Linked DNA regions of Oryzias latipes. The protein of the gene in region 1 binds, or shares a complex with, the protein of each later gene. Links are inferred from orthologs where the notes say so. Each region holds a gene or a part of one and is shown in the gene's direction. Other genes may lie near its edges.

The links. Proteins that work in one complex are often made in the same cells at the same time.
Region 2: the proteins of lck (region 1) and uncharacterized protein LOC100125537 are in contact, whole or in part, in an NMR structure (PDB 1Q69), measured with the Homo sapiens proteins. The link is inferred for Oryzias latipes from reciprocal best matches to the Homo sapiens genes LCK and CD8A. Residues at the interface, in NP_001036236.1 of Homo sapiens: Cys20, Asn22, Cys23, Tyr25, Pro26, Ile27, Val28; in NP_001139345.1 of Homo sapiens: Arg212, Arg213, Val214, Cys215, Lys216, Cys217.

The regions. Positions count from the first base shown.
Region 1 is NC_019880.2:16,845,613-16,849,566, reverse strand, and holds part of lck (tyrosine-protein kinase Lck), read left to right. Parts: intron 1-255; coding exon 256-405; intron 406-490; coding exon 491-643; intron 644-3,822; coding exon 3,823-3,954. UniProt on the Homo sapiens protein: Non-receptor tyrosine-protein kinase that plays an essential role in the selection and maturation of developing T-cells in the thymus and in the function of mature T-cells. Plays a key role in T-cell antigen receptor (TCR)-linked signal transduction pathways.
Region 2 is NC_019863.2:17,111,502-17,115,646, forward strand, and holds uncharacterized protein LOC100125537, read left to right. Parts: upstream 1-1,345; 5' UTR 1,346-1,527; coding exon 1,528-1,576; intron 1,577-1,673; coding exon 1,674-2,000; intron 2,001-2,073; coding exon 2,074-2,187; intron 2,188-2,271; coding exon 2,272-2,379; intron 2,380-2,468; coding exon 2,469-2,508; intron 2,509-3,005; coding exon 3,006-3,054; 3' UTR 3,055-3,828; downstream 3,829-4,145. UniProt on the Homo sapiens protein: Integral membrane glycoprotein that plays an essential role in the immune response and serves multiple functions in responses against both external and internal offenses. In T-cells, functions primarily as a coreceptor for MHC class I molecule:peptide complex.

The DNA.
Region 1 (3,954 bases):
AAGAAATATAAAGTCTACAAAAAACGCTTTTTGAAGGAGGCAAATTTGCATTTTATATTTAATTAAGACACAAAAACACCAATAAAACAGTCACACAAAACAGCACGAATAATTAAGTAAAGGTCAACTGTGCTTTACTGCGATTTGATTTTTTTTAACTGAACCGAAAAAAAGGAAACCTTTGTAATATGCAAAAGTCTGTTCATTTGTAAAGATTTCCTGCGTTCTTCATCTAACCTCTGTGCTCCTTACCAGGGTCATACTCATTATCAATTCGAGATCTGGACCACAACGCGGGTGAAGGGGTCAAGCACTACAGGATCCGTAACCTGGACAGCGGTGGCTTCTACATCACAGCCAAAATCTCCTTCAACTCGCTGAAGGAGCTTGTGCAGCATTACACACGTGAGTGCAGCCTCTTCAAGAGGGAGTTCTGGAAATGTATTTAGGTGGGAACTGTTTAAATCACGACTTTCTGTTTGTGATGCAGGGGAGGCAGATGGGCTGTGCTCGACTCTGGGGAAACCATGTCAGTCAAGGGCGCCGCAGAAGCCGTGGTGGCACGACGAGTGGGAGATTCCCAGAGAGTCGCTCAAGCTGCTGCGCCGGCTTGGAGCTGGGCAGTTTGGAGAAGTTTGGATGGGTGAGCCTTTTCCCAATAAACAAGCTTCATTTTTTAGCTCATTTTTCTGTATGAGGTTGGAATGATTCATGTTCTAATCCACAGTCAAAAAGATGGTTTCATAAAACAAGATGTAACAATTGTACAACAATTTCACACAGCCTGGCTAAAAAACATCCAATTTTTTACTGAAGTTTTTGAACATTTTGCAGCTACAGTTACTCCAAATTAGCTGACTTTAAGCAATTATGGCTTCATTTATACCAGGGGTTTGCAACCCGAGGCTCCAGAGTCACATGTGGCTCCTTCAACCCTCCATCTTGAATAAATAATTATTTTTTGGGGGGTGATATATGTTAAGATTCTTAAACTAAGGACATCTTATATCAGTCAAATTAACTGTTTTTAAAAGCAATGTTAATATTTAGTGACCCCTTGATCCCGAAAGGGACAAAGCTGGTTTAGAGGGTTAATAAAATTAGAGGCCTTGTGTGCTTTACTAGTCTTCCAAAATGCAGACGTCAGATAACTAAGCAAAGTGATGGTTAAAGGTTTTATCGATGGTCAGAGCTTTTTGTTATTAGGATTAGCTTAAAGCACACATTCTTATCCTCTGTGGTACATTAGTGTCGTCTTGCTGATTAGAGGCAAAGTTCTTAAAAGTGTATAATTGCAAGTAAATCTGTTGCAGGAGGATCTTATATGAGACAAGGTGGGTTTTATTTTACAGAATTTGTATCAAAAGTAAAATAAGTTAAAGTTGTTAACTTTGGAAAAGGTTAACACTGTTATAATTTAGGTATTACCAATTTATAAAAGCGTCAATGTATAAATGAACAGCTTAATAGTTACACACACTTAAATAAAGTGTATTTTTCTGAACAGTAAGGTGGGACTCTTGGTTTGATCTGTAAGAAACTGGACCAAATGGCTCTTTCAGCATTAAAAGTTGCAGACCCCTGATCCATTCAAACAAAAGAGTTGGCTCTTAGTCCCATCAAAGAATCAGAAATCAGACAAAAAAGAGAAATTCAACAGAAATTTAAAAAGTTGTCCTTCACTGTTAGCATTTTTGACTCTGCAGGCCTCCGTTAAGATAATGAAATCTGGCCAACTTAAAGACTAAAAAAATAGCAAAATCACAGTACTACTAACTGACCAATGATATACCCAGTAGTACTGCTTCTGAGAACAGTCCTCCACATAAAAGAAATCCTCAAATTGTTGCAGAATTTCATTTTTGGTGCAAACTAAACACATCCGCCATAACACTTCACACCTCGCATCAAGTGTGGAGGGCAAAGTATGGTTGTTTTGTAGCATTTCAGAAGCAGTCAGGATATCATCTTTGTTTTTTATTATGTGAAATATTAAAAGCACTAAAGGAGGCGTTGTAATGCATGCAGTGTTGACCAGTGTTTTGCATGAAATAGTCCAAATATGAGGAAAATATCAGCATACAAAGAATCCTTTGTCACTGTAAGATTCTTGGTGCAGATAAGAAGATGGATTTGCATTGAAGATAAAACGTCTTCCTTCATTGACACGCTTCACACGGCCCATGAAGAGTGTCAATGAAGCTGGTGCTTCATACAAAGGAAAATTAGAAGTACCTTCAGATGATTTGATGCAAGAGGTTCAGATATTTGTGCAGCACATACTTTAGTCAGTCACAAAACAAAAGCGTTGTGTTATTGTTTCTGATGAGATGATATGTTCAATTTTTCCCATAAGCAACACCTGGGCAGATCATTTCTAACGACACTCATGTTGAGCGCACAAATCTGTGCTCAATAATCATAAAAAATGTAGTCAAAATAAAAAGTATCAATCTAAAATTGATGCTTGATAATATTATTATTGCTTCTGTTTTTATCATCATCCCAAAACTCCATATTTACATCAGTTTACAGTTTACAGTTTTACAGTCATTCAGTTTGATTTGGCTGAAAATCTTCAGTTGTGCCCCCAGATGTTGAGCAATTAAAAGCTATCAAAGAATATTTCATTTGCTCAACATCTGCAAACAAAATCTGCTCCTAATTATAATAGCTTTTATGAAAAGTTAGAACACATATTTTTTTAAATTAATTTAATATGTCTACTAAGAAATTGTAGTCCATAATGGTTAAAAAAAAGCAGATTCTTGATTTTGAACTAAAGTTTAATTCACAAATGGATGTGGGGACTACATGTTGACTATTCTTGTTTTCCTTTTTATAAACTTCAAACCTTTATTTTAATATTCTGTTTTATATTCTGCTGAATTTGCTTCATTCAATTTTTACCTCGTAAACTTACTTGTCCACTGAGAGATGTGAATTTAATACGTTCAAAGTTCATTTAAATTATTGTTTTCTTTTGTTTTTTGCCATTTTTGAGGGCGGAAACTTTGAAGCAGTACAGCAGACACTGTTCACACTGTCTTTCACTATGCAACATAGCTTAAAAAGTCACTGCATTGTTTTTCAATTTTTGGAAAATGAGTTCAAATTGTTATTACACATTTATATATAATAATTTAGTTAAATTAAGACGCTATTACTTTGAAGTCCCCTAATTTTGCTGCTTCCAACACTTGCAGTAAACAGTTTTATGAAGAGTATTGCCCTAAAAACATGTTTGAAACAATTTATTCAAGTTCAATGTATAAATTTGAGGGACTTCTTGTCTTTAGATTGAACAGCCAAGCGGGTTTCCTTCAATCAAAAGTCCCTGCTTGTAAAAAATGTGTGACACCTTTAGATTACCTGATTAAATTGAAAAGGTTTGGCTAGAGTCAAGTGTCAAAATCGTGTAACATGAGGTAGAATTAGCTTATGTTTTACACAAATATTAGATATAAAGGTATAAAAACGAAAACTCATGAAAATTAGAAATGTGAAAGTATAACATGAGAACTGCTTCCAGGGCAAATAGTGTCAACAGTCTGGAACTGAATATAAACTGTCCACGATACATTGAATAACCTTTATAGACATTCTTAGCTTGCATTCAAATATAATAAAAAGGTGAGAGACAGGGTGTTAAAATGAACAAACACTGTGGTCACTAATGTGTCTATCTAGGATTCAAACCCTTTGGCCCTTAAATATTGATTTGTTTTTTCAACCAAAGCTTTAATTAGACACCAATTTAACTATATGTAGATAAAGATTTAAACTGATTTTTCTTTTTAATAACTGGATTTTCTCTTTCAGGTCTCTATAATAATGACAGTAAAGTTGCAATTAAAAACCTGAAGATGGGCACGATGTCAGTGGAAGCTTTCCTCGCTGAGGCCAACATGATGAAGAACTTGCAGCATCCGCGGCTTGTCCGACTCTTTGCCG
Region 2 (4,145 bases), on another chromosome or scaffold:
CATTGTTGCTCTTTGGCTTTGAAGAAAACCGCCAACAATTTCAATTAATAATAAATTTGACAATTAAATTTTCTCATTTTATTTTTAGACTTCTAGGTGATCTTACTAGAGGGGATCTTTTTTGTTTTTTAACGCTATTAACATCACACTAAATCAAGAGGAATTGAGCACTTTCCTCCAAAATGCAAACATGTCAGATAACTAAGCAATGATGGTAAGAAGTTTGATTTATTAGAGTGGTTTACCATTAGCATAAGCAAATGTCCTATTTTATGTGTAGTTGGTGTCAGAGACAAAGTTCTTAAAGTATAATTGCAAATCTACTGCAGTAGGATCCTTTTTGACACAGGATGCATTTTATTTTGAAAGAAACCTGTGCAGTTGTCAAAGTGAAATTACACAGTTCATTGTAAATTTTTAAAAGCTATTTTTTTAAATGGCTTGATGGCCACAAAAATATAAATAAATTGTATTTTTCTGAACAGTAAAGTGGGACTTTGTGGCTCTCAGTGGGTTTTGGTCTGTAAGAAACTGGACCACATGGCTTTTATTTATAGGGTTAAAGGTTGCAGACCCCTGTTTTCTCTATAACACAACTGCAGTTCCATTTCAAAGCAATTACGATGGTATGAAACTGGCTCCAAAAAAGAACATACTGAGATGGAGAAAGACAGATTCAGAGTCCGTTTGTCAATTCAAAGAGAGACTTTTCACATATAGGACCAAGACATACGACCACTTTTCTAAAAGCATTTTGTAAAATACATTTTCAGATATGAAGTATTTTTTTATTCATAACAAAAAATATCTGTTTGGGATATGTTAAGGCTAAAAACTAATAGCCCCCTTTATTGGAAAATTAATTGTCTTATGCGTAAAATAATTATCCCTTGTACTATCCTATGGGGTCAAGATGACCATTGACGTGTTCTCCCTACCATGACAAAGGTGGATAAAGGTGGAGAGGATTTGGACAGTGAAGATCACAAATCATTGAAGAAAAAAGTTCAGCGCACTGTCTAGTGGGTCTAGATGACCCCACTCCCAATGTTAAAGTGCCTAGGATAGCACAAGGGTTAAACCATGTCAATCATTAGATTTGTAGAAATGGATGACAGCATGGGTCAGGTTAAAGTTCAACCATCAGCGCAAAGCTTCTGGAAACGTCTTCAGAGGAGCACTAACAGCTCCTTTTTCCACGCGCACTCGTTTCCCATCACTGTCAGCGCGCGTACTGGCTGCCACCTTTGTGTGCCAATAACTTCAGGATGAAATCGCGTTGCCTCGCCTGAAACCAGAGGCAGCGCTGCAGCTCGGGTGGGCTCCACTTCAAAACGAGGCGCAGACCACGAGTGCGTTGCAGGAGGCTCTGCAAACGCTCCGGTGCAATGATCCCATTTGACGCAACAGAGAAGAGGCTTCGCAGCTGGGGCGTGGCTTCATTTCACATCGAATGATCTCCTGGCAGCATCCAAAAAACACCACGGAGACGGACTGCACAGCTGTTGTTGTCTGGAAGATTCAATTATGGACCAAAGATGGATGAAGATCCTGCTGACTCTTGTGTTCTACCTGCGTAAGCCAGACCAAAACTTTTTTTTTATTTGGGTATCTGTATGGTCATATCTACCTGCCTGTCTTTGAAACTTGGACTAATGTCTGTTCTTTCCAAGTAGAAGTCACCACATGTGCTGATAGGACATTGCAAGAAGGATCCACTGTACATTTTAAGTGTCAGATTCCAGAGGGGACCGTGGTCTTCTGGTTCCGACTGCTGGATGGCTCCAACATGGAGTTCATCGCATCCTTCAGCAACACTGGCATGGAAAAGAAGTTTGAACAGCAATTCAAAAACCTTTTCAGTCACGAGAAGAAGGATACATACTTTATTCTGACTCTGAAGTCCTTCAGCGCTTCGCGCGACAGTGGCGCATACGTCTGCGCCGCTCTTGTTAAAGGAAACATGCTACAATTTGGAGAAATTGAGCGCGTGCATGGAGGTAATTTTCGGTTCCACAAAGTGGATTTTAAGGTTTTTGCGAAACGAAATAACCATGTACTGTTTTTGTAAAGAGAAAAAGCGGGAAACAACAAAAGCTCCGTCGATGATCTTTACCCATCCACCAACAACTGTCTCCACACGTGCATCCACCAGGAGCTGCGCCTGCTCGCACATGCCGGCTGCAGGTGTCAGGATTCATCACCATTTTTTACTAATAATACTCAGGAAAAAGACAGACAGAAAATACATATTTTTATTTCTTTTTGCAGAGAAAACAAAACCACTCTTGCCTTGTGATCCACTTATACTGGGCTCTCTAGCCGGAGGCTGTGGCCTTCTTCTTCTGCTTCTCATCATCATCACGCTGTACTGCAATCGTACGTTCAGAAACCACAACATTCTTCACACACTTGAACGTTTCAAACAATCTTATATGTGACATTTATAATAATTTTTTTCTCCACAGGGTTGAGGACACGAAGATGCCCACACCATTACAAGAGAAAGTAAGAGGTTTTTTTTAACTAAATTACATTATAATTCCTTTTTTATGTTGTAAAATGACTAAAAGCGGCAAATAACTTTTCTAAAGGTTGCCTTATTAATTTAGGCTAAATCTTAAATGTTAAAATCACATCAAATACATTTAAATTGTATTATTCCAATGTAAACAAAATATATTTTCATTAATATTTTTACTTTATACATTTTTTCTGCATTGAACTTTAAAAAAAACACAACTGCTACACTTTTCTCTACCAAACCATTCGTCACAATGGTTAAATCTTAAAATGATACTTTTCCTTTTTTTAAAAAGAAAAATGTAATGTGTAGCTTTTGAAACCACAAAATACATTTAAATTTTCAAGAAAATGCTTAAAATATAAAGCTGTCACTCTGTGTGTGTGTTGTTTCTTTTTTACATCTACATTTCTTAAAAATTCCAGATTAGAATAATAAATGTTGTTCCTTTTTTTCTGTTTGTTTTAAAAAAAATTTGCAGGCCAAGGGTTTTGGCTCCTGAAAAGCAAATGACCAACGCACGCATCTGATTGAAGAGTTGCCATTTTACTGCTGAACCCATCTTTTGAACTTTAAAAATAAAAGTGAATTTTATTGACATTAATCTTAATCTTAGAAAATGTAATTTACATTGTGGCAAAAGCATTTTTGTCCTTTTTTTCTCTTGAGTTTGATGGCGAATAACACTGTGTTGCAAAACCTATTGACATTTGCTTTTTTCAGCTCTTTTGCTTTGAAATTGATGATGCAATCATTACACAAAACCAAAAATAATAAACAGTTTTTAGATTAATTCATACTGTAAATACCATTTTTTTAAACCTGTCCGTTCACAATTTTTACATTTTTAAATAATTTTTACTGCTTGTGCGTAAACCTTTTCTCACATCCAAAACTATTTCTAAATGTACTGTATGATGCTTTCTAAAGATGGAAAGTCCTTTTTAAATTTTTTTTAAAGTTATAATGCCCATTTAGAAATTTTACATGTGTACATATTTTCTTTGTTTTGCCGTTTCAAAAACAGTTTTTAAATAAAGAGATAAATACAAAAGATAATTCACTCGAGATGTTTTCTGATGTAGTGAGTTGTGATGTCCTTTATTAGTTTGTATCTTTTGCACATATAATAACAATCTGTTGCTTACCCATCAGTCACAATAAGGTTTTTGGAACAAAACTGTATTTGATAAACAGACATTTGTTTAAACATTTGTCAAAAGGAAGTGGGTTGCTTCAACCGTAAGCCGAGTGGGAAACCACGCATCGGTACAAGAAGAACAATTTTTTTTTATTCTTATTTTAACACACAAACACTTACATTTCCCTTGCACCTTAAAGATTTGCCAATTATCTTGAAGCTTACAGTTTGTATGTTTTTCCACTAAAGTGTCTCTTAATATTAATTACACAAATAAACCTGCAGATTTTACAGTGTTGTGTTCTGCAAAACTGTAAACAGAGGCAGTTTACAATGCCTGTAAAAGAAATCTTGATTTTACAAAGTGCACTTGCTGAGTGTTTCTCTGTAAGGCTTCACAGATACAACAGACCCTTTCTTGGACAGATGTTTTTCTTTCGACAGCAGGAGAACGAATCCCGGATATCCTCCACACGAAAT